Arabidopsis thaliana: one gene and its partners. The protein of the gene in region 4 interacts with the protein of the main gene of each other region in a pairwise test. Each region holds a gene or a part of one and is shown on either strand. Other genes may lie near its edges.

Region 1 (8,582 bases), on a different chromosome or scaffold from region 4:
ATGTGACAGACAAAAACTTGAGGTTCTCAGTGATACAATTTATGAGGCAAGAGGGTCACACACAGTTCATAAGTCATAAGTAAGAGTGATAATTCCCTAATGATTCACATATACCAAATGACCGATCATATCGCATCTCTTCTCAGACAATGAAGAAGAAGAAACATGGAATCGTCAACAATGCATACCTCTCTTGGAGGAGGCTGTGAGAAGCTGAAATTAACTTTGGATTGAATAGCGAGCTTCACATCATCACAGTCAATGTTGGGTTTGCTAGCATGCTCTGAGTAAACCTGAGCATCTGTCAACACTTCGACCACATACCGGTACCATAACTCCAGAAACTGATGTATCACACGAGGCTCGTAGTCTTCTACACCCATCGACTTAAGCAGAGATTTCACAATCTTAGCATCTCTAGGTACATCTTCTTCACCTTCTCCTGCCATGTTTATCCCTAAACAACTAAAAAAAAAGTAAAGCTACAGAGTCAAATTAAGAACCTTTCTTATACAGAATTGATGTTGCAACAACACAAGTTTCAATCGAATCTCACAAGCAAACATCGTGTAACAGCAACACATTACATAAATCGAATAAATAAGAATTAGAGCTTCACGAATCGGAGATAAGAAAGACAAAGGAGATTCTAACCTAGCTTCATCAATAAGTTCCAAAACACAAGATTATATGCCATAAAGAGGCGATAAATACCTAATGCGAGAGAGAAAGTTTGGTGGAGAGCTAGTGGCAGAAACACGACGGAGAGATTGATGAACGGCGGCGAGGAATCGGGAAATACTAATCTCTGCCACTCTAGATCTGATATTTATGGTTTTGGTTTGTAAATCTGCTGTAACGTTGAGGGTGTAAATGTAATTTAACTAAAACGCTATTTATTACTAGTATTTTGTATTTCACTCGTGCATAGGCCCATTAAAGACCCAAATTAGAACGACGGTCGAATGTATAATATTAAATACCGATAATAGCCTCATTTCTCTTCCGTTTACTTGTCCGTGTGACCGTGTCTACGACGTTGAAATCGAAATTACCACAATGTCCTCGCCGGAGCGTGCTCTCTTGAATCTATTGACGGACATCGCTCTCTCCTTCGACGGCGCAATCCTCGGACTGACTTTAGCTGTTAGCGCCGTCGGTTCTGCTCTCAAGTATGCTTCTACCAACGCCGCGTTGAAGAAGATCAAAGATGCACCCGAAGTCTCCATTTCCGACCTCCGATCACTGCTTCCGGCTTCTGAAGACAAATCAGAGACTAACGATAACAGGAAGAGCAATGATCAGCGAATCGTTGTGGTTCGCGGAGTCGTCAAACCGAAAATTTCCGGTGATGAGGGTTACAAGAACAACAACGTGTTAATCTCTCCGGAGACTGGAGATAAAGCTCTTATCATTCAGAGAACGCAAACTGTACGTTGCTCTAAACCCTAAGTGTTTATGTTTCCCTCAAATTGCAATTGACATTGACCTAATTTTGCTTTGTGTTCTTATCAAAGGCTTAGGTTAAAGAGTTTGGATGATTTCTTCATGATTAGGTGTTCATTGTGATTGATTAAGTTAGGATTATGTAAGTTGGTACTGGTGTGATCTCAGAAGGGAAATGTATGTTTCTAATGTCATCATTTTGTTGTTGACAGTATGTGTATAGTGGATGGAAGAGATTGTTTCAGTCCACTGGTCACCGGTTTATGTTGGAGAGATCATTGCGCAAACACGGTGCTGATTTTACGAGAACGGTAAAGTCTCTCTATCAGCTTCAGAGCTTTCAACTTTGGCTCTGTATCCATGATCAAACTTGTTTTGTGTATCCTTTGCTTTGTGCAGGTCCCATTTGTCATTGTTGGAAAGGATCAGCAATCGAACTCTAGTTTTGTCGCTGTTAACATGGATGGCTCAAGGCAACCTCTTCCGCTTACCACTGTGTATAATCGCTTGCAGCCTATTAATTCTTCGTTTCTTCAAGCCTTTTTGTACCCCGATTATCCTGTGAGTATATATATATTCAAAGAAATTTCTGGTTTTGAGGAACTGATGGTTACTTGTTCTTGGCTAACTTTGTAATCCTTTCTCTTCCAAGGTTGGTCTGCTTGATATAGAGAAGATTTTACCACCTGGGAAAGATATAACAGCTGTTGGCATCTACAGTTTTAATAATGGAGTTCCTGAAATCAAATCGTGCCAAGATCTTCCTTATTTCTTGTGAGATTTTATCTGAATATTTTTCGTTCTTATATATCTGCCTGCGTTCTAGCTCAAATTATTACTTCATCTTCTTCTTTATGTTTTCTCAATCTGTTGATCATTTGACAAGATTTAGTCCATTGTTGCAGAAAGGCTCTATTTGCTGTTCATATATAAATCTTTATGAATAATCTTTGCAGATCAGAGATGACCAAGGACAAGATGATTGAGGACCTTATGGAACAGACCAACTTTATATTCTTGGGCAGCGTTATCTTGGGCATTGTGTCTGTTGGCATCCTTAGCTATGCTGCTGTCAGGTACTGGAGTTGTGAGAGATCAGATTTGGTTTTAGATTTGGGCAATGTTTCGATTTGAAATCTGTTTAACTGTCTTATCTTCAGGACCTGGAATAAATGGAAACAATGGAACCATCAGAGAGAACTGCCACAGAGACCGAACGATTCTGTGGTCGATGATGAACCCGAAGATGCAGATGAAATCCCAGATGGAGAATTGTGTGTGATCTGCGTGTCAAGAAGGAGAGTACCTGCGTTTATTCCCTGTGGACATGTAGTATGTTGCAGGCGATGTGCTTCAACCGTGGAACGAGAGTTAAACCCTAAGTGTCCAGTTTGTCTTCAGAGCATTAGGGGATCTATGCGTGTATATTACTCTTAGTGACCCTGAATCTTCTCTCATTGTATGTAATAGGGTAATGCAATTTGTACTCTCAGAGAATCGGAAGTTAACAAAATAGTTTGACAATGATTTGAAAGTTCGTCAAGTCACTCAATATAGAGTGAGAGATTGTAGAGGATATGAAAGCAAAGTTTTTAAAAGGAAGAAATTTTGTAACCGATAACATAAGTAGCCAAGGATGACTTCCCGTCATGTATCATCACCAGTCTCCGGAGTTTAGCCTGAGTTCTCTCGGAGCAAGGTCTTCTCATGTGCCTCAAGTCCCTGACATGAGAGCTGAGGCATGGTGTGTTGACGGATAACCTGAGAATCTGAACTGCGGGTTTTGGAACATGTTGATACAGTTTGAATTGGAGCTCGGTGAGATCGAACTAGACCCGATTCCGCTTCCACCACCGTGAGGGCTCATAGAGAAATTTTGTCCATTTGCCATTTGAGAAGAACACAGTGAGTTTGATGATTCTTGAAGCTTCTTTGTATTGAGGAAACGTCCACCGGAGCCTCTAGCTCTCTTTAAAGCATGAAGATGGCGAGACTCATGAAGGTACGGCTACAGAAAAAGAAAACAAAACTTTATTACATCAAATCATCAAGATCTTCTGAGTTAGTTTTCCCTCTTTCTCTTTGGTGTTTTAGGCAAAATGGAAAGTGAAAACAGTCATACTTTACGGCATTTGATGAGTTTGTTCTGAGCTTCGAGTTTAGCACGGTGCTTCCTGCGACGGAGAATCGCATGATACTGTTTCGCATTGACAAATATTGGTTCATTCTCTTGAATGTGATGAGGCAATGGCACTCTTGAAGAAACCAAACCCATCATCTCTAAATGTGGCAGCGCCTGCAAAAAGATTTCCCAATCAACCAATCAATGCGCCAGATCGATTCAGAATAGTAAAAGCACAAAAGGCTTCACAGCATATTACCGTTGGTGTTGATGCATATTCAGGAGCCAAGAAACCATTGAAATGTGACGTTTCAGCACATTGAAGAGACCAAGATATTTGACCAGAAGTAGGAGCAGGAAACACAGAGTCTTGAGACACCATCGACGAGGTAGTAATTGACTTAGTATAATTTTCAATAGGCTTTCCCAAGTTTTCGATGTAACCTGAGAGATTGTTATTAACAATGCTGCATCCATAACGCTTATATTCTCCAAAGCTTGCAACTTCACCGCCGCCTGATTCTTCTTCAGTAGATTGTGATGAGGTTGAATCTTGATTTTGCAGCTGCAAACCCGAATGTTTCATCGCGGGTAATTGTGTTGTAGACATTATCATATCCTTAGTCAAGCTGAAAGATTCAGATCCTTGAATATTTGAATTTGTTGTAGGCATTGAGTTTCCCCAAGATGAATCTTCTTTCCTTTGAAACACTTGCATTGTCTTCAAATCTTTACTTCAATAAACTAAATGTCCAAACCAACAAGTCCAGTCATAAATCATATGATATTATTCATGATCCACATAATCAACAAATACAAGAGAGAAATGATACCAAAAGATTATAAAAGCAATCCTAAAACACAGATTCCAGGTTCAATGACACAGTAAGATTGTTTCATGATCTAAAGGGTTCCAAAAGATTCAAACTTTGAACATGGCTAGAACTTACACAACATGCAAACAAAAACTAAAATCGACAGATTAAATTTCTGAGTTTGAACAGATAAAAAAACTCATCAAATCTCATTGAACTTAATGATCCAAGAAAACAGAGAAACCAACCAAAAGATTTTTTTCTCTCATAACTCAAAAATTATTATTTTTAATTATATCATCATAAGTAGAAACTGAGCAACCAAATCATAACATCACTACCAAATAAATTAAGCGAACAAGAAGAGAGAGAGAGAGAGAGAGACCTTTGGTGCTTTGGATTTGGTAAGAAGAGATGGAGAGAAAAAGAAGTTAAGTAATAAGCTTGAGATTATGATGATGATGATGATGATGAATGATGATGATGATGCATGTCTCCTTCCTCAGAACATGGTTGTTTCTTTCTCTTCACTATCTTTCTCTCTCTTCCTCTGTCTCTGCAAATTGGGTATTGGCTATGGCTTAAAAGACTAATCTTGACTCCTTTTCTCTTTTTTTTTTTTTAATTATGGTTTTCTTCTCTCAACAAATGCATATTTATTCACACACAATTTATTAAATATTTTAAAATATTATTTTGTTTCCATTTCTGAATTTATTTGCAGAGTTTGACATTTCTATTTGTGGTATTTTTTCTTATCTTTGTTTATATTGTTTATGTTTCAAAAATTAAGTATATCGAATCAAATCGTGTCACGTAGTGCTTTTATAATTTTCAAATCAGGTTTAGTTTTATTACAAAACAAAATAGAAATATGTAGGCAACAATAAATAATAGAAAAATCTAGTAAAAGATAGATATAAATTTAGAAGTGTGACGCGTGTATAATCTAGACAAGGCTAGAAATATATCTAAATATATAAATGATAGTATTAAAATGTTAGGAAGGAAAATAGAAGACAAGAAAAACCAAAGTAAAAATGTTTATGGTAAATATTTCCATTTATTTCAAAGATGTTTAACACCTTTATTTTTATGTTCATATCAGTGATGTTTTATCAATTTATATGCGATTCTATTCAGCATATATATTACAAGGTTCAAAGATTCTAAATAATATATAGAGGGTATCTGAAGTATCATATTCCTTAATTGTTTCATAACAAAAATGTGCAGAATTCTAAAACATTGTTTATATAGTTGAAGATATGTAATTATGTATTATCTAAGCGTACTTTTTTTTTCTGTCTTTTTGTTTTTGTTTTTGTTTAAGAAGGTGTTTTTTTAATTTAAAAAGCAAAAGTTTAAGTGGAAGGTTGTCAACATCTCTTTATAGCGCAATCAATATAGTAGCATTTAAGCGAATAAATTAAAAATATTTTATATTTGTAGTTGGGGTAATTGATATTATTGCAAGTCAAGCAAAGCAAAGCAAAGCGAAAGAGCCCTTTTTCACATTTCTTGATGCAGCTTCCCCAACACAAAGCAGCAATGAATCGTAATTTCTGCACTATCTCTCTGCATTTAATCCACAACTCTGAATAGTAATTATAAGGAAGACAAAAAAACACTATAAATACACTCCAAAAGAAAGAATATAGTATATAGCAACATTTCTATTTCTTGGACACCTATTTGTAGTTCACTACAATGACACTTTGTTTAACTAGTAATAATTGAAGTAATACGAGACTTTGTATTGTGGGGAAGATTAATTGTTGTTTGCTACACGTACCTTTTACTTATTTGCTTTAGAGAAAAGAAATGCGTAACTATCATGCTTCGAACGAGGGAAGTTACAGGTGTTACTTCAAATATTATTATTATATATCAACAGTATCTAGAAGTTCTTAGAAATCAATTATTTGATTTACCTATGTTTATGTTTATAGACTTACTTAAACTAATATTTTCAAACACGACAAAGTTAATATTTTCGAATCTCCCCTAACCTCGATCCTTAACACACCGCAATAAGATTTATATGCATTTTAGGACAAGACAAGACTAAACCCATTATTAATCTAATAGTTCCAAATTTTAAACATTACGCTTTCAAATCCAATCATAGACGCACTCCACTTTTTCCCTACCATGTCTTAACACGTATATGTAAGATTGAACTACAATCGTTGATTTTCCTTTTCACAAATGAAAAAGTTTTTTTTCCTACCTAACTGTTTTTATATAAATAAAACAAACTCCACACAGAATATGTCATACAACTAAAAGATTTAACGTTAAAGTTTGAATAGGGAGACACAACAGAAGTGAATAAAGAAATGAGATCAGCACGAATCTAATGTAAAATCTAGTCTAATACCTAAACAAACTAAATCACCATCACATCAATTGTGTTCATTTTAGAATAAAAATGAAAAGATTCGGTGCTTTGGAAATAAATAAAAATAAAGTACATTAAATGAAACCAATTCCATCAGCTCGAGACCTTCTCTTGTGCCACCACCATTCATGGTTTTGGCCAAAAGCTAATAAGAGTCTCTTCCTTTGTATGGCATCTCCTGCAATAAAATCAAAGATGTCAGCAAAATCTAACTCTGTTGATCATTTTTTTTTTGTAACTAGACAAAACAAGAATTTTGAAGTAAAGTAGTAAACCGGTTGGTATGGCGTTGGCGGCATGAACAAGATTGGTCTCTGCTGAGTAACCATCATCGGTTGTGGGTACTGTTTTAACATTGATTCCAAAATTCAGTCTTACAATAGAGAGAAGGTAAAGAGTTTTCAAGAGTAATGACTATTAATAGCAATAAACAAACCTGTGGACTATTTGGAGAATAATATGTTTGATTCGGACTAAGCTGTGTTGTATTGTTATACATCATTGGGTGTTGTTGCCCAGGGAATGCTGCTCCCGTCTGTCAATTTTCAACTTAGTGAATCAGAAACATAATAACAGAGACTTAAAGAGTAATTTAGGCGTTGATCACTAGATAAAGAATAAAGAAAAGTTACTCCGTATCGAATATGTAGTCCTGGCATGGGTGGAACAGGAGGATAATAGAATGATCCGTCAAAGACTGGAGATTGAGGAGATTGAGGACGTGTTGCTGATGGAGATGGTTTGAAACTCTTTGCGTTAGGGTTCAGTTTAAATTCCTGGTCGGACCTAATTTCGTTAGTAAAAAGCTTATAGTATTAAGGAGATATTAGATGATAACCTAAGCACTAAGAAAAAAACCTTAGCATTTGGGTTGAGTGTGGATTTTTCTGATGATAAAGAACCCGAAGAGCTTGGTGACAGTATTGGAAGATTTGATGCTGAGGAAGCTGCAGAGTTTTCTGAATTTCTAGAAATGGAGCTTCCAGGCCACCCAGAAGAGTTCTCAGACTTTGCTCTGTCAGAGAGTAGACCGAGTCTTCCATCAATGAAACTTGGCTTCACAGGTGGTGGTGCATCTTCATTGAGGTGGCAATTAAAAACTTAGTAGGAAATTCAATTGGTATCAACATATAAGATGAAACGGGAGTAGATAGATTCGATAAGCTGAAGTTGCACATACCTTCAAAACCAGACACTGATTCCTCAGATGGCTGCGTTAATACAGATTGAAGCCAACAGAACAGTGTTATATGTAATGTTCCATTAAGCAAATGCCAAATCAACACAAGGTGCGTCGTTTAACTTTATACCTTTTTAAAAAGGGAAGCCCCTAGGAATTTGCTCTTTCTTTGCTCACCAAGCTGGCTCTCATTCCTATCAGAATGAGTTTCAGAAACTAGTTCAATGAAAGATATTTTGTATGTTCAAAGGGAAAAAGACCTGATGTTGTTTCCTGCAACAGGAAAATCTTTGGATGGCAGTTCGGACATAAGCTGGCGAGTATGCTTATTTGAGTTCGACCAGCTCTGATCTACCATTTTGTTACTCCGTAAATGCAGGCTGTCACCCTGAAGGACAAAAAATGGCAATATCACCTATGATTCTCCTAGAAACTACTAGGAGTGAAGAACTCAACCATACCCATGAATCTTCATAGAATTTGCCAGTTGAAGCAGGTTCCTTGCCATCAGAAGCAGAAGAATCACCAAAAGTCAAATTGTTGCAGCAATCCAATAATATATCTTCTTCTTCTTCTTCATCGTCTTCATAACACGTATCATCAAATCTATTAGTC
Region 2 (7,238 bases), on a different chromosome or scaffold from region 4:
TTTCTTGTAGTTCGGAAGCCTAGGGAACAAATTGCAGACGCAGAGGCACTTCTGGATATAGCAAACACTTTAATGTCATCGGTGAAGTCTCAGTCTGCTCATGGGGTTTCACCGGCTGAGTTTGTTAATGCTTTGATCAGTGGGTTTGGTCAAGGTTCTTTGGGGATTGATACTGATGAAACTGCTCAAGTATCTTTAAAGTGGAAGGATCTTGGGTTTGCTGTTTGTTCTACTGTTTTAGTATCATGTGGTTGTTCTACAATGTGAGTTCTCATAATAACTATTTTATATTGATTTGCTTTGCTGTAATTGAGTATATTCTGTTTAAACAAAGGTTTGTTTACCTGTTTTGTTACCAGGTTGGGACCTATGGATACTGAACTGAAGCAAAGGAAAAGGGCACCCAACAGAAAACGTACAAAGCCTGGTGAAGGTGTTCGTCCAGATGAGGTAAGAAATGTTTTGCAGACCCCATTTTGTTTGAGTTTATCAAACTGATTCCACTTATGTTGTACCTGTAGTCCTATTCTCCTTTGAGACTGCACATCTTAACACCTTGCCTAGATTCATTGAATGCTTTTCTTATCCCAGCCTGATCGATCAGTGGTGTTTAATAGTCGTTTGCATGATATCCAATGTGAAATTGTATATAGTTGATTTGAGTACAAAAAACATACTGAAGTTAAAAGCCCTCGCCATCTGTGAAATATGATGCGATGCTTTGTGTGGAGCTTGTTGATTGTTATGTAGTTAGGGTTTTAATAAGAAATAAACAAGCTGATTTGCATACGCATAATAATAACCAGGTAGATGATTCACAATCAGAAGAAAAAACTGATACAGACAAGAATATGACAATAATGTTTAACATCTTGGGGAAAAAGAAGCGCGTGCAGCTTGAGAATTTGGTGCTCAACAGGCGGTCATTTGCACAGACTGTAGAGAATTTGTTTGCTCTATCTTTCTTGGCCAAAGATGGACGAGTTGAGATCATTGTCGACAAAAGTGGTTCTCATTTCGCCAGTAAGATCACAAGTCCACTCTCTTGTGTCTGGTTTTGATATTTAATTCGTTTCACTTATACTTGATCTCCTAATGTGTCCTCAGTGCCGAGAAATGCACCTGATGCAAACGTGGTGATGTCGGGTGAAGTCATTTATAACCATTTTGTGTTTAGATTAGATTTCAAAGATTGGAAGGTAATAAAATAGAATCTCATTTCGTTCTCTAGATTGTTAAATTATGTCCTGAAGATGTCTGATTTATGTTGATGTGATGATATATGTCAAACAGTTGATGTCTGAAATGGTGCCACTGGGCGAGGAGCTAATGCCACACAGACAAACTGCAGTTGCTTCATCTTCTTGTCCCGCTGCATCAGCCCCTGCATCAGCAGACTTCACACAAGATACTCAGACAACACCAATAAGAAAACTATCGAGAAACCGAGGGTTGGTTGTACAAGAAGAAACTGTTGTAGAAGATACTCCTGACAAAGAGGGCGATGGGACTCGAAGGAGATGTAAGCGGAGACTCACCTCTTCTTAAGGAGTGTATAGAGAGAGAAGTGAGTTGTATCTATTTCATTTTGTGACATTAACTAAATGTCTTTGTTAGGATTGTTTAGTTCGTTGTAGTTTGTAGCAGTTAAGTGGCTTTTGTCTTAACTCTTAAAAGAAGAAGAATTTAAAGCCTCTTTTGGTTTTTCTTCTTCTTTTTTTTTTGATCTACTCAAGAGAGACAATTTATCTAATTAATGTTAGATATCAAAATCGAAGCATCGAGTTTGTAAATAAAAAAACTATGTAATACAAAAGCAAATAAAAACCATACTCTAATTAAGTTATAATATAAAAAACCTAAGAACCAAGTAGCTAGCTATTGGATCCTAACACCAAACAGCATAAACCCTCCTTTCTTCTCCTCTGATTTGGTTTCTTCTTCTACCTTCGAGGTAAAGAGGGTTTCTGTTTTCATCTCTTCATCAGAAATCTCATGAACCGTCTTGTTTACTTCCTCGGGAACCACGAAACCGTTGCCTGAAAAGTGATGAACATCAATCATCAAGAAGGTCTTGCTTTGGCCTTCTAATGTCTTCACATTGTTGGGGACATCGCAAGTGTAAAAGACAATAATATCTTTCTCCTTGAGATTCTTCTCCTTCACGAAACCATTCCATCCTCTGGTGAAGACAAAGCTCTGGCTACTTCTCCAGTAACAATACCTAAACTTCCATTGTCTCATTGCTCTGTCGTAAAAGACAACCTCCACATCTTCTACTCCTTCACTCGTCTCTTTCTCGCTTTGATCATCGCTTATGAAAGGCATATACTTCACTGCATACTTCTTAGGTATCACAAGCCTATTCAGTTTCCCTACATCGCTCGGTGTCAGTTCTTTCTGAAAAAGCTGCGTGCACGAGAAACACTTGTTCGATTCTTGACCACCTTCTCCTCCTCCTAAGACTTGTTTTGATCCCACGATGTTGATATTCGCAACAATCTGAGACCGGATTCTGAGAAAATCTCTGAACTTGTGTTGATAAGAACCGTCTCTGATCATGTTCAACACAGCTTCTGTCGTGTAGCACTCTTGAAAGTCCGGTTCATGGAGGGTAAAATCAGACCAAGGGAAGTTCCGGTGCGAGTTAGCATCAAAGCTTCGAAGCTTAATCGATGCGCTATCGTAAGCAGCAGCGGCTTCATGAGCGGATTTGAAAGTTCCAAGCCAAATCCTTCGATGGTCTGCGTAAATCTGAGCACCCCAATGACCGTTCTGTTGCTGAACAACTCCTTTGAATTTCGTCGTGTTGGACAAGGCAGGTTTTGTGGTGGTCGTAACCTCAGTAGGTTTCATGCGTTTCGTGAGGCTCAAGACAGAGTCAGTTAAGCCTGAAGTCTCTGTCGTTGTCTTGGCTACATTGCTCATCTCGTCCATATCCATAACAAAAAAATACAAAAATCAAGAAAAGGACAAAAAAACAAGAAACAGAGGAAGAGAGAGAGATGTTCGCAGGGAACAAGCAAAATGAAAACAGAAGAGATTAGGAAGAGTATTTGAAGGAGAGATTTGAGGGAGTAAATCCTGGAAAATCAGTATTATGTTTCTCTGTTGGTTTTGTTAACAATGAATCTTTTAGAATGTTACAGTTTCCATGTTTTGTTTTGTTTTTCTAGTTTTCTCTCGGTGAAAAAATGGCAATTTACAGAGTAATTAATGCCACCAGAAGCTGTTAGTGGTAAGTTTCCTTTGTTAGTGAGATATTCGTATTTTCTTTGTAGAAAGAAATATTCAGTGAATTTGTTTAAGATTAAGACAAAAAGTAAAGTTTTCTTAATGTTAATTTTGTCTTAATTTAGACATTAGTAGCGAAAATTATATCATGTGGTTTCTTGTTTTTTCTGGTTCCTGTTACATCCAAAAAAACTAATGAACAGAGAAAATTTAAACTATCACCTTCCATTGTTGTAAAACATTTGACAGTTTCTTACATACTATTTTTTTTCATATGTTCAAATAAGAGGTTCTGATAGAACAATGCAGCTAAATTTCTCGGATGTGCACAAAGATAATGTTATCGAATCCTCGGCTTATCCTCATCTTCTCATCTGTGTACCTACAAACATTAAAGTAAGCATCTCTGTATTAGCAATTCAAATGCATTATTATATGTTGTGATTTGTGAAAGTAGTAGAAGAAGAAGATAGAGAGATCTTACAGAATTTTTAGCTCGATATTGTTTGTTATATCGACCGGATATCCAAATGCACCGCCTATAATTGCTGCGTCGTCCATCTTCAAGTCATATGTACTGCTTTCTGATTTTCTGCAAATCATTCATGAGACCAGTCAAGAAACAAGATCACAAAAAAGTTAGCAAAATGACTAATCTAAAAGACAGAGACTTACATGAATTTGCCTTTCATGGAGAATCTAAATGCCGGAATGATGTTAACTTCAAACTTTATCCTCCCATCCTTCTCAATGATCTGAATAAGATACTCGATTTCGCTAAACGAAGCCAGCTGAAGCAACAATAGACTACCTAAGACATTCTAATAAAATGTTTACCTGTCTTCCCATAAGACCATTTGCTGCATTTTCAATCCAACTATCTGTATACATCTGCAAACACAAAACCCGAAAAATCGCTTATCCAAACGAATATAAGTGCTTGTTCAAGACAAAAGCTAAAGTTATCAGAGAAGTGACCTGTGAACTCCAAATCATTTGCCAACTTCCTTCTAAAAGCTCATAATTATCTTCCGCGGAATTAGAATTAGACGCAAGAAACTCATCGATAGCCTGTGTTTATACTAAACGATCCATTGGTTCCATTTCAAACCGAAACTATCGATTGTTTTCAGATTTCTTGAAGGCATGACACATTACCTCAGCTACTCCTTTGTCTTGAGATATGGTGGCTAACAATTTCTGCCTAGGCACGGTTTCTTTCTGAAGAACAAACGTTGTTCCCTGCGCTACAAATATACAGCCTCATGGATAAAAATGCTATAAAGCTTTAATTTTCTTTTTGAGAATCAAGAAACTCATTTACCTTGTTTCCCCTAGAAATCCTAAGGTTACCTGAAGGCGACAAATAAGTAGTATCTAGCCAACCTTTTGCTTCATCACCAAGAAGTCTAAAAGGAACTGGATATGGAACTTTGAAAGGAAGGAACTTCAAATCAAAAGCGGCTCTATCAAAACGGAATAAAACTCGTTTCCCATCTTTGATCGACGCAACTGCCTGTAAAATGAAACAATTCAAAGTATAAACATCTCAGTCTTTTGATGCAAAGACTTTAGTGAAGAAACTCACCTCAACTTTCAGCTCTCCAATGAAATCAGAGAATTTAACAATGTTTGAAACACGAGGATCGTTTGTTGCCTTCAAGTATACATCTTGAAACACAGTGAACACATCAACTCCTGTAAATGTTCTCTGCAGAGACAAATCCTTCCATTGCTCTTCTTCTTACACACAAATTACAATCATCTAGAAAAAATGGAGATATGATGATGAATGTGTGAGAAGAACTGACTTGGATTGGAGATGCAGTTCCAGGTCTTGTGGTGAACATCAATCGCCAACGACCTTCGATTAGGTCAGAATCTGTCTAAACATTTAAACAACATTCCCCAAAAGACAACCAAATGAGTCAAAGAACAAAACATAACAGAATTTGGTAATTTGAAGATAAAAGGATTCACAAGAAAACATTTCATACAGGATTTTGAATGCCTTCTAAACCTTCAAGAACTTTCACAGCAGATTCAACATCCTACAACAGAGAATCTCTCAAATCATAAACACGACGGAAAATTAAAGAAAGTTTAAAGTTTTTACACACATTGAGCTGTTTAGGAGAAGCAGATTTGCCACGGCCTTGAATTCCGATCAAAGCGTCAATGAGTTTCAACTCAGCATCATTAAAAGACGATTGTTGAGTTTGGTCAGTGACAGTAGATGAAGATGAACAACTGATTCGCAGAGTTCTACAGTTTCTAGACAAACCTAGTCTCCTGCTTGTTGTGTTAAGAAGATTGAATCTCGGAGAACACAATGAAAGAGAAATCGGCGATGATGGGCATGGACATAAACATGGTAGCGACATCTCTACAGCGTAGAATCTGACTGCCACCATTGTTGCTGTCTACTGCTGCTTGTGAAGCTTTTGTTAAAATGATTAAACTTTGCATTTTTAATGTGTGGTGTACAATAAAGCTTGAGTCTTGGTGAAATATCTTGAAATATGAAACTAGTGGAAGTAAAATTTTCTCAACTAATTAAGTTTTTTCCTCCCAAAAACCCTTAAGCTTCCTCACAAATTGCAAAACCAAAAGCATGAATCTTTGTTTTGATTCTTCACATGAGACTCTCATCTTCAATCCTTCTTCTACCATTAAAGTAACAGATGAATGATCCAGAGATGATTACAGAACCAAAAAAATAAGATCTTTTACAGATGAAGAAGCTCTGTTTTGTGTAAAACTATAAACAAAATTCATAGACTTTTGACTCAATTTGCAAGTAGAAGAAGAAGGAATTAGAAAGAATTAGCAACAAGAATAGCTTGTCGACACCGAGCTCTAGCTTGTTCAATCCTCTGACTCAAAGTTTCATCTTTAACAGAAGCTTTAACCATAGCTAAATCCATCTCCATCAATTTCAAAACCCTAAAAAGCTCTGTAACCATTCTCTCTTCAACTTTACCTTCATCTCTCAAAACCTCAGCTTCTTCTCTAGCTCTCTCTGCAACAATCTCACCAGCTTTAGCTAAAAGCTCCTTTGATCCAAACTCTCTCGCCATTAAAGCTTCGAACTTTTCTAAGAAATCCATTATTACATAACCTTTAGGTTTCTCCAAGTTTATCTCTTTTGTTCTTTTCCAACCGATTTCGAAGTTTGGTGGCTCTGGTTTCTCGATTCCTCTTTGTGTTCTGTCTCGTATGATCTCTGATCTTCTTCGTTTCTCTATTGGGAATTTCTCTGCGCTTGTTGTGTTGATTGATTCAGGTGCTGGTGTGAGATTGATGAATTGATCCTTTGACTCTGGATTCGACGAACATTTTGTTGAGAACTTTGTTGTTCGACGAACGAAGCTATTGGTTCTTATTGGGACTGCGATGTGAAGATTCTTAGAGGAGAGAGATGGAAGAAGAAGTGTGGAAGTGGAAGCCATTGATTTAAAAAGCTTAGAGGAAGAGTGTTAAAGAGGGTTTTGAGAATTGGAGAAAGATAAGGCCTTCTCTGGAGTTACAGTACACTATAGCGTCGTTTAAGTGTTTCAGACAAGAACGTCACGTCGTTTTTAGTTTCCGTTTAAACGGTGTCGTGTGGAGGTGTAAGCACCACGGCTGCTCTTTTCACAGTAGAAAGAAACAGTGTCATCTGTGGATAAGTAAACTGTAAAAACATAATAGTTGAGTATTCATCGACTCATGTCACTCATTGGAGAGGCCGGTCTCAGAGTTTTTAGTTTCCATTCTTTCGTGCTAATATACTTTTATTTTCTAACAGAAACTATATTTTTATGCGAAAAATCTTACTATTTGTATTTTACTACCAAGAAAAGAAGAGCAAATAAAAGTTGTATTAGAACCAAAACGTGATATACACAAGAAACAAAACCCTGTAGTGTTTACATACATAAACGAGGACTCGAAATAGAAATACTGGTAAGACGAAGACAATTAAAAATAACTTCGTGTAGTTATTTATTTGCTGGTATATA
Region 3 (8,053 bases), on a different chromosome or scaffold from region 4:
TGAACCTCCAGCATCATAAACCGATCCAGCACTAGAGCGGACATCATTGTCTGCAGAACTGTGAGGTTTCACATGTGAAACTGAAAATTTTCCATAATCATCCTCGTCACTGTCCATTTGACAATCTTCTAACTTGATATTTTTTCCAACAAATCCAAAGATTCCCTCTAGAGAAGTAACAGCACTGGATATATCCACGAAGGATGACAGGCTGCATATTTTCTTATACTGAAAGAAGGCCCACCTACCAATGGAGGAACTCTTCCTAATAACCTGCACGAAGGATTCTTGAAACTATCAGATTTGAATATACCCATTACACATTAGCCATACAAAGTTCCAAGAACAGAGCAAGCGAATAAAATGAGTGACACGGTTGATGCTCAATACAGGGAAAAATAATAACTAAAGCCCTACACAAATAAATAACACGCTAAGAAAAGCAAAGGCTACTTATTTTGATTCTACACTACTCAGAGGATTACCATTTCTAACAAGCAGCTCGTTAGACTGTTTGATGCTTCTTGTACACCATTCAACCCTTCTGCATTCTTACCAGTAGCCTCTATATTGTTAGAACCTGTCTGACCAGAATTCTCGTCTACTTCAGGTTCAATACTAGCGGCATCAATATCATTAATCTTTTCTGTCATATGAGTAATGAGATACCTCCCCGTTGCTACATCCTCCGTGGATGAAGAATTGAAGAATCCGAAACAAGTGGCAATTGATTTTTTAGGGAAGTTGAAGAATACTTTCAGTAAAGCTAAAACACGAAACTGGGATAATTTGATCAAAGGTAACGAGTTTCCATCTGAAAGTTTTTGCATCAGCTGAGAAAAAATTTCGTCAGGATCTTGCAACTTCAAATCGCTCTTATCAACTATCTGGAAGATATTTTTCCCCTCAAAAGAAAGCACAAAGAAGGTTAACACATTTCTGAACACGGCAGAGCAGATATCTCGAGCCCCTGGTGATGACGTTTTCTTCGATAAAGCAGCAGAACATAGGTCAACTAGACCAAATATGCAGGCTTTAGCAGTTTGAAAAGCAACACCATCAGCATCTTGTCCTCTCTTTAAAGCTTCCAAGCTGAAGTTATGCATGTCAATAACAGCTTGCACTGCATCTCCAATAGCCGTAGGACAGTACAATGCATATCGAGGAACGAGATCAGCCACAAGGCGCTTAACGCTAGTACAACCTGCAAGTATAAGCAACTAACTAAATCATTACTCCAACTAACTAAATCATTACTCCAACAAACTAACAAAAATTACTCTAGGAGGTGTCCAAAGATTAGAATCATAATGCTAGAGCTAATGAATCTGTAACCCTAATATTCACTTAATTCAGTTAAGAAGTATTCTTTCTCATACAAAGTTATCTAAAACCACAAAACTCAATTTCAGGAAAAAAAAAAAAAAAATGAGCTCAATCAACTCCGGAAAATGGCAGATTCTCAATCATCCAATTGATAGAACTAAATCGAGCTAAGAATGAGAGAAAATAAACCTCTGGAAGCGGAGATGAGGGAGCGATACGCTTGCTCAAGATTCGCAGAGCGGCCGCCACCATCTCTCTGAGCAACACAAGATTTAAGACGCTTATAGCAGTCATGCACTCTTCGAATCTCTTCTCTGTTCCTACTTCTCGTTTGAATTTCCTCCTGAGATGGAGGCGACGGTGTCACCGGAGCCGGGAACGAGCTTACCACCGTAGAAGGGGATTGGGATTCTAGTTGCGGTGGTGGCGGAGGGTGAGATTCAGGGATTGACTCATACAGACGACGCTTTTTGATAGGCTGCTCGGCGCAAGCCATGGCAGCGACGGAGAGCGAGAGAGAGAGAAGAGAGAGTCTCGGTTGCTGTGTTTGTCAGTTCCGTATTTTGTTAGTGTTTAAGACCCTCTAGCTCGCGGAGAAGCTTCACGGTGGCTAAAGGCGATCACGAATTCACGATACGGTTTGGTTTGACTAATAAAGCCGAATCGCTTTTTAGAACATCAAGCCAAACCAAACCGAAACTAGGAACGTGTTCAAGGGATGGTATTTAAGTAAAAATTTTGGATAAATTGTTTTTTTGTCAACATATAATAGTTGTATTTTGATAATTTTTGAGTTTTGGTATTTAAAAAAAAAAAAAAAAAATGAGTTTTTCAAAATCATGGAATTTGAATCTTTGCATCTTTAATTAAAAAAACATATAGCATCTAATTAAAAACAACTAATAAAAAAATTCAAAGTATACTAAATGAAAAAACAATATTTCAGTTAGAGATTTGGAATTGTGTAGCTTCTAATATATCGTAATGTTTAGTGAAGAGCTGTAATTTTTTTGAATGGTAATAGATCAAAGTTTGGGAGGTAAAACGTGTAAAAGCATAAATTGGGATGTATAGTTAGTTTGTTACAGTCAGATGTTTGGGATAACTTTATGAGTTCTAAAACCTAGAATATAAGTGTTAGCCTATAACACCTAATTTAAAATTTATGATGAATGACACAAAATTTGTTATCATAGCAAATTTTATTTCAATGTTTGACTAAATTCATCTTCTAAATACAATGGAGAGAAGATGTCGGAAAGAAATGCAATGAAAGGTTAATAAATCAAAAATCAAAACGTTCTTAGTCGATATTCATATGAAGGACATCTTTTGAACGTACGGTACGTGGCTTTGCGAATGATATCAAATCCGCTTGTTATTGGACGTTTTTTCCATTGATCGATCACATCGTCGCACAGCAGAACGATTTGTGCGGTATCATCACATATTCACAATCACATCTCTAGACTCAAATCATAAAAAATTAAGTGGCCAAAAGAAATTGTAGGGTGTTTCCACAAACACTTGTTTAATTAGGTATTCAAAAACTTAACTTTTTAGACACAAGTTATGTGCTATTCACAAGAATTAAAAGATTAATTGTGCCAATATGCACCTTATGTCTGAATATGCACTGATAAAGTGATAATGATAATCAACAATATGAAGTAACCACTAAAAAAAAAAAAGTTGATATACATCTTTTATCATGAGTTGCTATAAAGTCGGTCGAATAAATCAATATATTTTTTCGAAGATTGGTGAATTTTGGAGTCGTACGAAACATAACCGAAACCCTGGCATAAAATAATACAATTTTATCTTTGTTTTCAAATTGCAAAAGGAAAGACGATTGTTATTTAATTAGTCTGAGTTGACTTTTTCATAATTTAAAAATATAATTACAAAAAAGAAAAGAAAAAGAGTACCAAAAGTTCTTAGAACCATAATGACGAAAGAGACAAAAGAAGTTAAGAATAATAAAAATATCAGAATGAACAACAAGAAGAAAATGGTAGGATCTTAGCGTAGATCTCTTTAGTTTGGCTCAAATAGGGATATATATGTTCTAAATGGGTTTCTTTACATTGACATTGTAACTTGTAAGTCCTTCACATAAGCCGAGACAAAAGGTTGTGATGGAACCCCATGTCCAGGCCGTTGTAAGCCAATGGTGCGTACATCCATAGATCATCCGAGCTCAACAACTACATTTATAAAATATGCATTTTGGTTAGTTAACTTGAACATGAGTTATGATAAGATTCTGACTAAAAACAAAAAATCCTTTTAACAATCTACATACCTTAATCTGAAGCTGCAAGAACTTCACGTAATGGACCGCTTCTTCAAGCATCGTGCTTATATCGACTTTTGTCCCGTTTGGCACAAGGTTTTGTAGTGTCTTGAGCCTTTCGTTAATCTTCTCTCTTCGTTTCTGCAACAATTGATAACACACTTAAGAACGACTTTACTCATTGTCATTTGGTTTTGAGACCGAAGTAATATAAAGTATGTTTTCTAACCCGAGCATAAAGGCTTTGAGGATCAGTGGCTGTCCCTTTGGTGGCTCTAGTTTTGCCTTTAACACTTGTGACCGAAGCTTTCTCATCATCTGAACTGTTGCTTAAACTCTGACCATCTACCCAATTAGTGTTGCTCTCGTCAACTGTATTGCTTTCCGAGCTTACCCTCTGTTTTTTCTTGGATTTCGCAAGCTCCTATATCCCACAAATTAATGATATTTTATTTAGTTTATTGCGTAGTAGTAGTGAATGAAAGTAAACATTATATATTGGATCTTCCACTTACTTGTCTTGTGACGTCACAGTTAGAGTTAGTTTTGCATAGATTCTCCACGTCAAGTAGTTTCCTCTTAAGAGAAGACGTTTCTTGGAGGTGATGACTTTGATCCCAAGAATCAAGCATGGCCGGAAGATTTCCTCCCGGCATTGCACCAAATGGGAACATATCAGGGAGCAAGAAAGCATGATGATCAGAAGATAAGACATTGTTATGGTGTTGATGTTGATGAAGATGACCATTGTAAAGGCTAGAGAGGCCAAGCAACTCGTCTCGCGGTCTCTCCTCTTTAGATGATGAACATTGATCAAAGTTGAACATCCCCAAGAGAGACTCCAATTCACCATCAACAAAAACGTCCATCGCTCTAACTGATCAACTCTTGCCTTTCTTGTTGTTGTTGTTGTTGTTTGTTAGTTTGTTGTTATGATAATTCTTGAACTTGTGCAACTATATATATATATATATAGGTTGGAGACACTTGATGATGGAGAGAATATTTCTCAAGGAAGATTTGGTGATGATGAAGAGAGATCAAGAGATTCTTAAACTGGTACAATCATTTGTGTCGTGAACAAGTCGTTAATTAAATAAGTGAAACGAAGCCATGCATGATGATGAACACGATCAGTCAACTTGTGGGGTCGACAACAACAGGCTTTGTTCCTTCACGACACATTAACATATTCTTATTTATAACTATCCATTCATCTCAATTAATTAAAATACATTATGTATAAGATGGTAAGAGATTAGTATAATAATGAGAAAGACTTTACATTGGCCACACAAGAGAAGCGGTGAAGTATAAAATATGGCCACGCCAATGCACGATTTGTGGAATCATTATCGCAAATTCAACAACACTAAAAAGAACAAGAAAATAAAAAGAAACTTTTAATCCATGCCGCTTTTTACCTTAAATTACTAATTGTCCGGTAGGTCTCTCTTAGCTAATTTTTTTGGAGGCAGCATGATATATATCCGGCGTCGATAACTAACTTATTTGGATGAAGCTATGAGCTAAGAATAATAATATATGAAGAAAAACTCATTCGTAAGAGAGTGATCAAAAGCCATGGTGATATTTTGCCCTAACACACTTATCGATACCAAAAACATACAGCTGTAATGGATAGATTGGTAAATGAGTTATAAATGAATAATTCACGTTGAGTCTTAGCTCATTTTAAACACAAAATGTTACTATATACATTTGTGGTCTTGTGTGGGGTTTAAAACCATACAACACTAGAAGGGAAGAATAAGCCATAAACTATACTTTAAAATGTTAAAGTGTTAACATTCGTTTGTTCATGTGTTAAAGTGTGAACATTCTTTTGTTATATACTTGAAAATTCCGTTACTTCGAGGACTTTCAAATTTATAAGCAAATAAGGCGAATTCAACACTTTTATTATATATAAATGCATGGTATTGTAGTTGTATACTTGTATGTATTATATATAAACTCAACACCTTATATATACACATAAATTAATCTAGTTATGGGCATGTGAAAAGAATAAGCTAATTTGTATGTATTATAGTTGACTGTTTGCTAAATTTTTTTTAAAAAAAGTTATCTGAGCTTGTTATCTTTTTGGTCCGGCTGGGAGGCAAATTGCCTTATAAGTTATAAAAGGTCAAGTAGGTATGCATAATCGTACAAAAGATAAATAAACATAATTAAAATTATATTAGGACGGCACAGAACAGAGTTGGAGATTCCGACAAGATGAGATTCAAACTCGTTTTTTGTCTTAAGATCATCCCCACATAAAATCTTCTTTATCAGTTTTTTTACAAACAAAAAAATATTCAAAGAAAATAAAATCACAGCTTGAAGATATGTTCAATTGTCTCTAAGTTTCAAAATTTAGAGGACGGGTTACGGTACATTGCACCTTACGGATTTGCCTATCTGTTTCATTCATTCTTAAGACTTATAACTCCTCTTAACATTCCAATTCCGTGAATAATACACACGGGTTCAAAGAATGTGTCGTAATTACATCATATCGTTTTATACTCTTATGGTATAATCACATTTTAGTTCATTATCAATGATTTGACTTGTACGAACTGTTGTTTTTTTAGCATGCATATGTTATGTATATTAAAATGAAAAGTGAAATGTGGTGGCATGATCACTGCTCGATTTCTTGTCTTGCTTAAAGTCAGAATGTCGCCATATTCATATTCCATTGGATTTAAGGACAATAATCGTTAGTTCTGGTCCGATATTATAATAAATCCGATGTATGAGAATGCTTGGTAGATTTTAAACTTCGAATACGACGAAAAACTATACATAATTTACATACGATGGAGTAACTTGCACTTCTCTAATATCCCTACAATATGAGATCGTTAATTTACAATTATTTTTATTTTTGTATAAGGGTTTCGTTATTCATGCATGTATTTTAATTTTTAAGTTATTCATGATCCTAAGTTAGGTTATTCATGACACAAATTGCTTTTTTGTATATAAGGGTTTCGTTATTCAATCAGTTCTTCTTCTTTTTAAGTCAACTAGAACAAAATAAAAATGAAAACCTTATACATATATAATTTCAATCCTCAGTTTCTGTTAAATTATTTGACAGACATAAATAAAACCCCTGAATATAATATGTATGCACATAATCATTTACTCCTAATTATAAAGACAAACATATCATCTATAATTTAATTGAGTTCATGTAAGAGAAAATGTTAATGTGTCAAGCTGAGAACCACAGAGCAACTCAAGGAAAATACTTTTTGTTCACTAAAATAAAACAAAAGAATTGCTTCTAAGTGAGATTTATTGCAAGAATATCATTCAGCACATTAATTATATTATTACTAAATAATTATGCTCTGCTCTTTTAAATATATTTAAGTTAATGTCAATTAGTTTTGTTTTGAATAGAAATATAAAAATATTGATAAATCGTTCTTGAAGAGTTAAATGTATATGAACTAATTGGATTATACGATTATATCTATGATTCTATAAAAATATTGATAAATCGTCAAGATTTGTTTCCCAGCTTTTCCTTTTTATGTTAAACAATTAATCAACCGCTAACTATATACACCGCGTTTAGGTTTTAGGTTTATATATCCCTTGTAATCAAAGATCATGATTCATGAATGTATTTTTTATTCTGCGAAAATAACTTAGTTGAAAAAGTGGTTTTTAAATCCTTTTAGTCTTCATATAGTAAGTCTTTGATTCTTCTAAATGTCAAAATGAAATGGAATAACTCAAAAACTTGTAAAACTTTAGAGGTTTTATCCACCATTGAGAACTAAGTTAGTTAGTTAGTTCTCAATGAAATTAGATGTCGAGTTACTGGTCCCAAGTTAAATTTTATCATAAAGATATGATTTACACATTATTAAGTATTTTAAAAAGTTGATCGTAGATCAAGCGAAATTATTAGCCAAAATTATGCATTTGATTAATAGTTATCCCCAAAATTTAACATGTGAGAAAGACGTAATGTATTATGATTTAACCACAAATTTAACAATTTAAAAATGCATAAGTTACTTGACAATTGACACACATGCATGCACACACAGAGGAGAGAGTTCTTTTTCATGAGAAACAAGAAAACGAATACGATCATAAGAGAAGAAGTTAATAATGTGAAGAGTGGACCCAAACATTTAAGCCCAACGCGTATTACCCAAAGAATAATGACTCCTCTAACCCAAGGCCCTACTTGAAATTAACCAATCAAAATACTCATTTTCTTCCCATTTCTGATTGACTAATATTCTAATCCTATATATATGATGATAATATGAGTACTTTTTTACCCATTGGCTCAACTAATATATTTTACGTATATTAAATACCTACTCACCTTCAGTTTAAATTTATCCAGTCTAAAATATAGAAATACAGATATAATTCAAAGTT
Region 4 (8,729 bases):
TCTTCGATTCAAAAACCAGTAGAGCCAGATTTTTCTAGTGAATGAAAATGAATGAGTAACGATATAACTATTTTAGTAGCTCTTTTATCTCCTATATATAGTATGGAATGAAACAGAAAAATGTTAAAACAAAATTCTTACATGTAATTAATTATGAGGGGGCTTTGAGAATTTTGAAAAAAAAAAAAATATATTTTTTGTAAGTTAAACAAATAACATATTACGAAACTTTCTTTAATTATTGATCTATATGAAATTAATATTTTAGTTTATACTATTATTATAGTCTTGAATGGACTAATTCAAACAACTACTCTTCACTTGCATCATAAGAAAAATATGAATAACGAATGTTGTACATATACGGAGAATGGGCATCATATCTACTCATATGTAAAATCAATGTCAACGAACAATTCAATTCAACCTATACTTCAATATATCAACAAGCGATTTTTATTTCTACATTAGTTTTACTATTTTACCTTGGTCGACCATGAAGATCTCAATCTGACCATGTATGTCATAACTGTCTTCAAAAGGTCACAATCCGACCCAAAAAGTCATAATCAAACCCAAAGGTCATATATCATCAACTCGGAAAGTCACATAACGGCCCTAAAAGGCACATAGATTTGGACATCTTATTAGTCAAGTTCTGTCCATACTTAACCTGCAATTTACAGTACTAGTTTAAGTTTACATACACGTCATTTTCTAACATGCTACAAGCTACCGTAAAACGTCAATAAATTAAAATACTGTCATGGAACTGAGCACTTGCATTTACCTCTTAAAACGTAATAAGTACTCAAAGTCCAACTTCTATATTCATGACTACTAATTACAAGAATTTCCTTAACTTTGAATTATTCCTTCCTAAACGTATAGAATTATCCCCCACAAAGTTCCTTGGTCACGTCAGCCGCATTAACCCGTACCTAGTCTAGTCAATGGAGTATATATGCAGAAGATAAGCATTGAGTATGAGAGATTTTGATTTTTGACCTAGTAGAACCCTACATATAATACCTATGTTGCTAACAATATAAAATTTGATGTTAATTACAATATATGTTTCTCCATGTCAAAGTCAACTCTCTTTTATAAACTAATACTATGTTAGTTAAATAGTTTCCCAAATGTATCTAAGCTACAACTTGGTCAATAGCCTCAGTTTTTGGTATATATAATTATAGTTTGCAATTCTCCCTCAAAGCCTCAAAATCCCATCAAGAACAATATGGGTTCAGGAAAAACTAACCGTCCATCAGTGAGACACCCGAGTCACAATCATCCGTTGCGGGTCTTCAACTCCAAAGAAGAAGATGAGATCATTTGCTCCGGATGCGAACATGATCTAATTGGGCAAGCTTTCAAGTGTACAAAGTCAGAGTGCGATTACTTCTTGCACAAGTCATGTTTCGACCTTCCCGGTGAGATCCATCACAAGTCTCACACAAATCACCCTTTGACCTTGCTCCATTCTCCACCGAATGGCCTATCCACTTACACGTGCGATGCGTGCGGTGAGTATGGATCTGCTTTCACTTACCATTGCTCAGAGTGCAAATACCATGTTCACGTGGGATGTGCGTTTGTCCCCGAGAACGTGAAGCGTGAAGATCACGAACACCCACTCACTCTACTTTACAACACACCATGCAAAGGTCGTAAGGACGGTGTGGTGTTCATATGTGATGTTTGCGAAGTAGATGTGTCGGAGAATCTTTGGGTGTATTACTGCAAAGAATGTGACTATGGGACACATGTTCATTCATGCACGACAAATGAAGACAATGGGCCAAAAAAAGGAGGAGAAGAAGAAGGAGAATCAAGCTCATTATCGACTTCAAGGATAAAGTCATTAATGGAGGCTGAAAAAGAGATGAGAGAGATGGCGATAATACATCAACTACAGTTAGATGCTCTTGACGCAGCAGGTAGTTATGTCGGTTCATGGGAACCAAGGAGAAAAGATTATTGGTAAATGATGAATCTTGGGAGGACCATCAAACTTTGTTTGAATTATATTCTTTTGTTTTCATTCTGATATCGTTCTTTCTTTGTATGGTTTGCAAATTATTATTTTTCATGTGGCTTGTTGTAATGTTATGAAATAAAAATAGTTATATATTTTGCTGTTTGATTTATATTCACCGATTCTGATTGATGCTTATATATTACTTTGTTTCCATCGCTTCTAAATGTCAAATGATAATATTCTAAGATCATAGCAATTGAGATCACATGCTTAAACAACAAACAACGACATTTTTTTCACGAATCCAGTCTTACTATTAGAGGAATAACGAATCAAGAAAAGGTTGTTAAGAGAGAAAAAGAAAACAAATTCATTCTCATTCATCTTAATTGGGACCGGAAAGATTACATTGGAACCTCTTATATAGTAAGAGATACTCTAAAACTGAGATAAGTAAACACCACAAAACAAAATTAAGAGATTAGGGTGTGTTTGGGATTTGCACTGAGCTTGGAACATAAGAGCACACAAGTGGGTAACAAAACTTGTCTCTAGATTCGCCAAGATCCACTTTACTCAAGATTCCATTATTTCCAATGATGTAAGCAATATTGCGAGCGGGAAGGTGACATTTGTCTATTATCTCTTTATCAAGAACAACCGCGACCTTCTTCTCCTCGTCAACGAAGAAACTCCTACCGACATTAGGAAACCAAAAACCAGCGACTGGTTTCATATCAACAGCAAATAACAAGTTGCTCCACGACACTGCATTAGGCTCAATCTTATTAGTAATCCATATCTCGACGACGGATGCCCGGTGAAACAGCACCGCAAGCTGCTCTTCTCTAACACTAGCAAGCGTCACAGTATCTCCAAATACGGCTCGGAAAGGCAGAGGCAGACGCGGTTCAAATCTTGAAATCAAAGGATAGTAGAAAATCAGGGTGATCTAGTGATGGTAGACCATGAAATGGGATCTCTTCTAGGGCATACCAGTAAGTGTTTCCCTTTAGAGACACGCCACTGTGTTTGTACAAAATATACCAGTCTGGAGTGAAATCATCAATGACCTCCCATGAATTGGAGTATAAACTGTAAATCTGAAGCTCACGAATTCGGTCCCTACTGGTCTCCAAGTACTCATTCACGAATCTCAAGATTTTGTGATTCTTTTTCTCGTATCCGAGAGCGTACTTCACGCACTTGTGGTAGATAGAATTTCTAGGTAATTCGATATACCTTGTTTGTCCCAAATAAGGGTTCCAAACAACAACCCTAGAAGAGTCTTTGTCTCTGTCCTTGTTGATGCATAAGAATAAACCCTTGGCAGTGAAAGATTTTAGATATTTTGATTCCATCTGCATTGAGATTACCTATAGGATCTATAGACGGAGAGAGTAGATCTACGCTCATCAAGGAAACTCTATAGTCCATCATCATCACCACCTCAATTCCATTCCTCTGTTTCTTCTTTAAAAAGCTCTCACTTTTCGTTATAGTGTTCCACTTTTTGCAGGTCAATCGCAGTTTCCCCAGAGATTTCACCGGAACCCTAGAGAGCACCTCCTCCTCCATATCAATTGGAAGATCGAACATCTTCGAATCGAATCTCCCAAAATCTCTCTCTCTTTTCCGTGTCTATCAATCCATCTCTTCACGCCCTCTTTTAGTGATATAACTTATCTTTTTCAATTTGGGCTTTATGGTAATGGGTCAAGGCCCATTAAGGGGTCTCGTTTAGAACTCTTGATTAATGTCTGAAATAAGTTTTATACATTTCTTCATTTGGAGAGTCATTTCGCAGAGACGACGCATAGCTTCTTCACTTGTCAGCTCTCAACGTTTCTCACCTGAAATTTCACTTCTGCTTCGTCTTCTCGAGCCGGATCTCTAATTTGTAAAGCTCCCTCTCTCTTTCTTCTTGTTCTTCTTCGTCTCCTTCTACACTGATGGATCGTTATTTAGCTATTTAGGGTTTTGTGAGTTGCATTAACTAGAGTAACTCGCGAATTCTTCTCCTTTGCCTTGCGATTTGGGGAATTTTTTAGCTCCATCAGCCAATTTTACAATTTTGTATGTATCCGTGGATTTATCACATGAATTGTGGACCTCTGAGTTTTTTTTTTTTGTTAGGTTCTTCTCGCTTTAGTTTTGCTTTTAGGTACATAAATTTTCCTCCTTTATGATTTACTTGCTCTTGGGCTATTTTCTTTTATTTGTTTGGTATGGAGTATGGACTCTAGAGTTTAGTTTAGTTTTTTTTTTTGGGCACATTGGTTGGAATTAGTCTTGTTTTATTCTGAATTGTGTAATCAATATCTGCATGCTTGTGGTGATGCAGGGAATTCTTATGTGATGGTGTAATTTAAGTTAAGATGACGTCTTCTTCGCATAATATTGAGTTGGAAGCAGCTAAGTTTCTGCATAAACTTATTCAAGATTCTAAAGATGAACCTGCAAAGCTAGCAACTAAACTTTATGTGGTAATGTGGCTTCACCACTCAGTGTATGTTTTATTTTGTAATTTTGAGCTTTATTCCTGTGCTTTAACTTTGTTTATTCTTTCGATTACTCTAGATATTGCAGCACATGAAAACCAGTGGAAAGGAAAACACAATGCCCTATCAAGTCATATCTAGGTATTGTTTTCCTTATATATCGTCGCTGGTTATTTGTTAATGAATTACTGATTAGGTTGAGATGATATAATCTTCTTACGCTGTGAGGACGTGGGGGCTGCTTCTTACTGAATCAGTTGCTTTAGCCTTTATCTAACTCAAGACTTTAGAATCTAGTTATTCTGGGTCTTTCAGCGTCAAGCTGTTTCTCATGCTTTCAAAGATTTATCACTTTTGTTTTACTGATAAAGTCTTTCTAAAACTCCCAGGGCCATGGACACTGTAGTCAATCAACACGGTCTTGACATTGAAGCTTTGAAGTCCTCGTGTCTTCCTCATCCTGGTGGTACCCAAACGGAAGATTCTGGGTCTGCACATTTGGCTGGTATATCCTCTCTCCTTTGTTTCAGTTGAGTGTTTCAATTGTTTTTTTTATTTATTTATTTATTATCTTAAGCTTCTTGCATCAATGTGGAATACAGGGTCTTCCCAAGCGGTTGGAGTTAGCAATGAGGGTAAAGCAACTCTAGTTGAAAATGAGATGACAAAATACGATGCATTCACTTCTGGTAGGCAGCTTGGTGGATCAAACAGTGCGTCACAAACCTTTTACCAAGGGTCTGGAACTCAAAGTAACAGATCATTTGATCGTGAGAGTCCATCCAACTTGGATTCTACGTCTGGAATTTCTCAACCTCACAATCGTAGTGAGACAATGAATCAAAGAGATGTCAAGTCGAGTGGAAAGAGAAAGAGAGGTGAATCATCACTTTCATGGGACCAGAATATGGATAACTCTCAAATATTTGATAGCCACAAGATTGATGATCAAACTGGAGAAGTAAGCAAAATAGAAATGCCCGGTAATTCAGGTAGGGATATTTGCTTCAACATTGTTTCTTACAGAACAAAGCATATCCTTTTTAATCTAGAATATAAGAAGCACCCTACAATTGTTGCCATTAAACCTCAGGTGACATTAGGAATTTGCATGTTGGGTTGTCCTCAGATGCATTCACGACTCCACAGGTACATAACACTAAGTTTCCCGAATCCATCCAGATTATATACATATTGTGTACATAACATTAGGTTTATGAAATCATTTTGAGCCTCCCTGACTCTGCCAATTTCAAATATTTTGGGACTTTGTGCTACACGTATCTGATGCACAATAACTTCTTAAGAATGTATAAAGAGATATATGCTGGCACATGGTGGCTTATTCTCCGAAACATTTGTCTCTCCTTAGAAGTATTATTTTCTTATCTATTTTCGTTTTCTGTATTGGAAATATGAAAAAAATGCTTGCATTTCCCGTGGTGATTTTCTTTGTTTTTTAACCTAAAAAACTTAGATGCCACTAAATTCACTTTTTCAAAAACGTGATTTGATTAAAACTTTGCCTTCTATATGATGTATTGAATCTTACTTGCATATAGTCTGACTTAGGCTCTGCAAAATGTCCTTTCCTCTTTTATTTCATACCAAGATACCTCGTTGGAACTCATCCCCTCTATATGTGGGATCTTATTTTCTATGGCAGTGTGGCTGGCAGAGCAGTGAAGCCACAGCAATCAGGCCTGCAATTCATAAAGAACCTGGAAATAATGTTGCAGGAGAGGGATTCCTGCCTTCAGGTTCACCTTTTAGAGAGCAACAACTGAAGCAGCTCAGAGCCCAGTGCCTTGTGTTTCTAGCTCTTAGGTACCTTACAGTCTCCTAGCCTCTGTATACTCCTTTTGGTGCGGCAATTGTAACTCTAAAAATTTCTGGTTGATTTTCATCTCGTAGAAATGGTTTGGTACCGAAGAAACTTCACGTAGAGATTGCCCTTCGAAATACTTTCCGCGAAGAAGGTAATGTTGGTGCTCACTGAAGTTACTTTCGAATCCACTTTTTACATGCTTTCCCTTGGATCATAATTGGTCTTCATTACAGATGGTTTCCGCGGAGAATTGTTTGATCCGAAAGGGAGAACACATACGTCCAGTGATCTGGGTGGCATTCCTGACGTCTCTGCACTGTTGTCAAGAACAGACAATCCCACTGGAAGATTGGATGAAATGGACTTCTCATCCAAAGAAACTGAGAGATCAAGACTAGGGGAAAAAAGTTTCGCAAATACTGTATTTTCTGACGGGCAAAAGCTTCTAGCATCTAGAATTCCCAGCTCTCAAGCACAAACTCAGGTTGCTGTTAGTCATTCTCAACTAACGTTTTCTCCTGGTTTGACCAAAAACACACCATCAGAGATGGTGGGGTGGACTGGAGTAATCAAAACTAATGACCTCTCAACTTCTGCTGTTCAACTCGACGAATTTCATTCTTCTGGTTAGTGACTATCTTAGATGGGATTGTTTTAACTGATGGGTCTTTCCCTTTTGGAGTGTAGTATTGTTAACTAATTTGATTGATAACTCTTCGAATATGGATATATGGCACATAGCAGATGAAGAGGAAGGTAATTTGCAACCGTCGCCTAAGTACACCATGTCACAGAAATGGATTATGGGTCGACAGAATAAGAGACTATTGGTTGATCGTAGTTGGTCCCTTAAACAGCAGAAAGCCGACCAGGCAATTGGTTCACGGTTCAATGAGTTGAAGGTCTTTCTCTAGCCTTTTCTTTCATTGGTGTTACCTTTTGTTTCACGAGTGATTGATTTTTCCTGGTGTCAACGTTTTATGCTGTTGCTTGTTGTTTGTGGTGGTTCTTACTTTTCCGTGTTCTTGATCTTGTTATTGGAACAGATCAATGATCATATTTAAGTATCCGATTTTGGATATAGAAGTGCCTGACATTGTGATTGAGTAAATTGTTTAGCTATTCCATCTTCAGCTCTACCCACTGTAACCTGTCAGACTGATCCCAGGAATCAATTTTGATCAAGCTAATATATTAAATTTGATCTCAGTGAGATAAAATAATGGCAAGTTGTACTTGGAATTTAGGCAAGCATTTGTAACCTCTTTTATGTATTCGTCTTCCATTAAGGAACACTTATTTGCTCAGTTTACAAAATTCACTAAAAAACAACTTCCTGTAGTGGGGTTCTTCTTTTCGATTTTCATATTGTAAATAACTGCGAAGTTAGCTGTTTTGGCCTTAGGGTAATGTTTTTGAAATGACCTTCACATTTGACGTTATACTGAAGAACTAGTTGTACTTCACATTTGCAGAAACACTAAGGAACTAGCTGTACTTGTGTCCTTACTTTATTAGGTTCTTAGTGATTACTATATATTCTGGATCTGGATACTGATTCATGTACCCCTAATCTGCAGGAATCTGTGAGTTTGTCTGATGATATATCTGCAAAGACCAAGAGTGTAATAGAACTGAAAAAGCTTCAGCTGTTAAATCTACAACGGCGATTGAGGAGGTGGGTGTATGTTATTTGCTTAAAAAATATCAGGAAGGAGATGTTTCGCCTTATTATATCTCGGATGCAACTAGATATTTTGTTTTTGTAGCTGTACGTTATTTGCTTAAGAAATATTAGGAAGGAGATGTTTCGCCTTCTTATATCTATTATATGCTAAGTCGAGCTGGGGTATTGATATAACTAGATATTCTGTCTTTGTTAAACTACGGAGGATGCAAACTATTTTGTTATATGTGTAAAATATATGCATCCACATATTCAACCTGTTGTATCACCTCTCAGCTGCTATTGTTTTGTTGACTTGTTGAATCAGTGAGTTCGTTTACAACTTCTTCAAACCTATTGCAACTGATGTTGAGCATCTAAAGTCATATAAGAAACATAAGCATGGCCGGAGAATTAAGCAGCTTGAAAAGTATGAGCAGAAGATGAAGGAAGAGAGACAACGAAGAATTCGGGAGAGACAGAAGGAGTTCTTTGGAGGGTTAGAAGTTCACAAGTATGTGCAATTAGTTTTCTGACCTAATTCATTCTTCTTATTAGGTGCATCGAATAGTAGACGATATTTTTTATACTGCTTCGTACTTAATCCTTGTTTGAAAACCTGGCTTTAGGGAAAAACTAGAGGATTTGTTTAAAGTTAGGAGAGAAAGGTTGAAGGGTTTCAATAGATATGCAAAGGAGTTCCACAAAAGAAAGGAACGACTTCACCGTGAGAAGATTGACAAAATTCAA

The links.
Region 1: the proteins of SYD (region 4) and NF-YA5 interact in a two-hybrid assay, tested with the Arabidopsis thaliana proteins (one large-scale study listed by BioGRID).
Region 2: the proteins of SYD (region 4) and AT1G51120 interact in a two-hybrid assay, tested with the Arabidopsis thaliana proteins (one large-scale study listed by BioGRID).
Region 3: the proteins of SYD (region 4) and RSL4 interact in a two-hybrid assay, tested with the Arabidopsis thaliana proteins (one large-scale study listed by BioGRID).

What each region holds. Positions count from the first base shown.
Region 1 is NC_003070.9:20,214,421-20,223,002, forward strand, and holds NF-YA5 (nuclear factor Y, subunit A5), read right to left. Parts: upstream 5,033-8,582; 5' UTR 4,769-5,032; intron 4,313-4,768; 5' UTR 4,287-4,312; coding exon 3,828-4,286; intron 3,802-3,827; exon of another isoform or gene 3,743-3,801; coding exon 3,569-3,742; exon of another isoform or gene 3,541-3,568; intron 3,455-3,540; coding exon 3,161-3,454; 3' UTR 2,916-3,160; downstream 1-2,915. Other genes in the region: TAFII21 (TATA binding protein associated factor 21kDa subunit), read right to left, coding at 189-449; SPL2 (E3 Ubiquitin ligase family protein), read left to right, coding at 1,060-1,431, 1,659-1,757, 1,846-2,007, 2,099-2,220, 2,403-2,522, 2,607-2,883; CID3 (CTC-interacting domain 3), read right to left, coding at 6,933-6,965, 7,063-7,131, 7,224-7,322, 7,420-7,563, 7,646-7,863, 7,968-7,998, 8,098-8,161, 8,228-8,355 and 1 more. UniProt on the Arabidopsis thaliana protein: Stimulates the transcription of various genes by recognizing and binding to a CCAAT motif in promoters. Involved in the blue light (BL) and abscisic acid (ABA) signaling pathways.
Region 2 is NC_003070.9:18,933,790-18,941,027, reverse strand, and holds AT1G51120 (AP2/B3 transcription factor family protein), read right to left. Parts: upstream 2,938-7,238; coding exon 1,879-2,937; downstream 1-1,878. Other genes in the region: AT1G51130 (Nse4, component of Smc5/6 DNA repair complex), read left to right, coding at 11-263, 360-450, 807-1,023, 1,108-1,199, 1,294-1,548; AT1G51110 (Plastid-lipid associated protein PAP / fibrillin family protein), read right to left, coding at 3,544-3,616, 3,719-3,826, 3,910-3,989, 4,072-4,125, 4,213-4,305, 4,393-4,476, 4,559-4,750, 4,823-4,945 and 3 more; CRR41 (potassium/sodium hyperpolarization-activated cyclic nucleotide-gated channel protein), read right to left, coding at 6,051-6,686.
Region 3 is NC_003070.9:9,651,194-9,659,246, reverse strand, and holds RSL4 (root hair defective 6-like 4), read right to left. Parts: upstream 4,773-8,053; 5' UTR 4,495-4,772; coding exon 4,141-4,494; intron 4,050-4,140; coding exon 3,855-4,049; intron 3,767-3,854; coding exon 3,635-3,766; intron 3,537-3,634; coding exon 3,441-3,536; 3' UTR 3,158-3,440; downstream 1-3,157. Other genes in the region: AT1G27750 (nucleic acid binding protein), read right to left, coding at 1-273, 486-1,204, 1,516-1,822. UniProt on the Arabidopsis thaliana protein: Transcription factor involved in the regulation of root hair elongation. Is sufficient to promote postmitotic cell growth in root-hair cells and is a direct transcriptional target of RHD6 and RSL1.
Region 4 is NC_003071.7:12,052,409-12,061,137, forward strand, and holds the start of SYD (P-loop containing nucleoside triphosphate hydrolases superfamily protein), read left to right. Parts: upstream 1-4,362; coding exon 4,363-4,470; intron 4,471-4,564; coding exon 4,565-4,626; intron 4,627-4,874; coding exon 4,875-4,990; intron 4,991-5,087; coding exon 5,088-5,477; intron 5,478-5,578; coding exon 5,579-5,634; intron 5,635-6,151; coding exon 6,152-6,312; intron 6,313-6,399; coding exon 6,400-6,464; intron 6,465-6,546; coding exon 6,547-6,939; intron 6,940-7,054; coding exon 7,055-7,215; intron 7,216-7,893; coding exon 7,894-7,991; intron 7,992-8,307; coding exon 8,308-8,493; intron 8,494-8,608; coding exon 8,609-8,729. Other genes in the region: CNGC15 (cyclic nucleotide-gated channel 15), read left to right, coding at 1-45; AT2G28270 (Cysteine/Histidine-rich C1 domain family protein), read left to right, coding at 1,244-1,990. UniProt on the Arabidopsis thaliana protein: Catalytic component of the chromatin structure-remodeling complex (RSC), which is involved in transcription regulation and nucleosome positioning.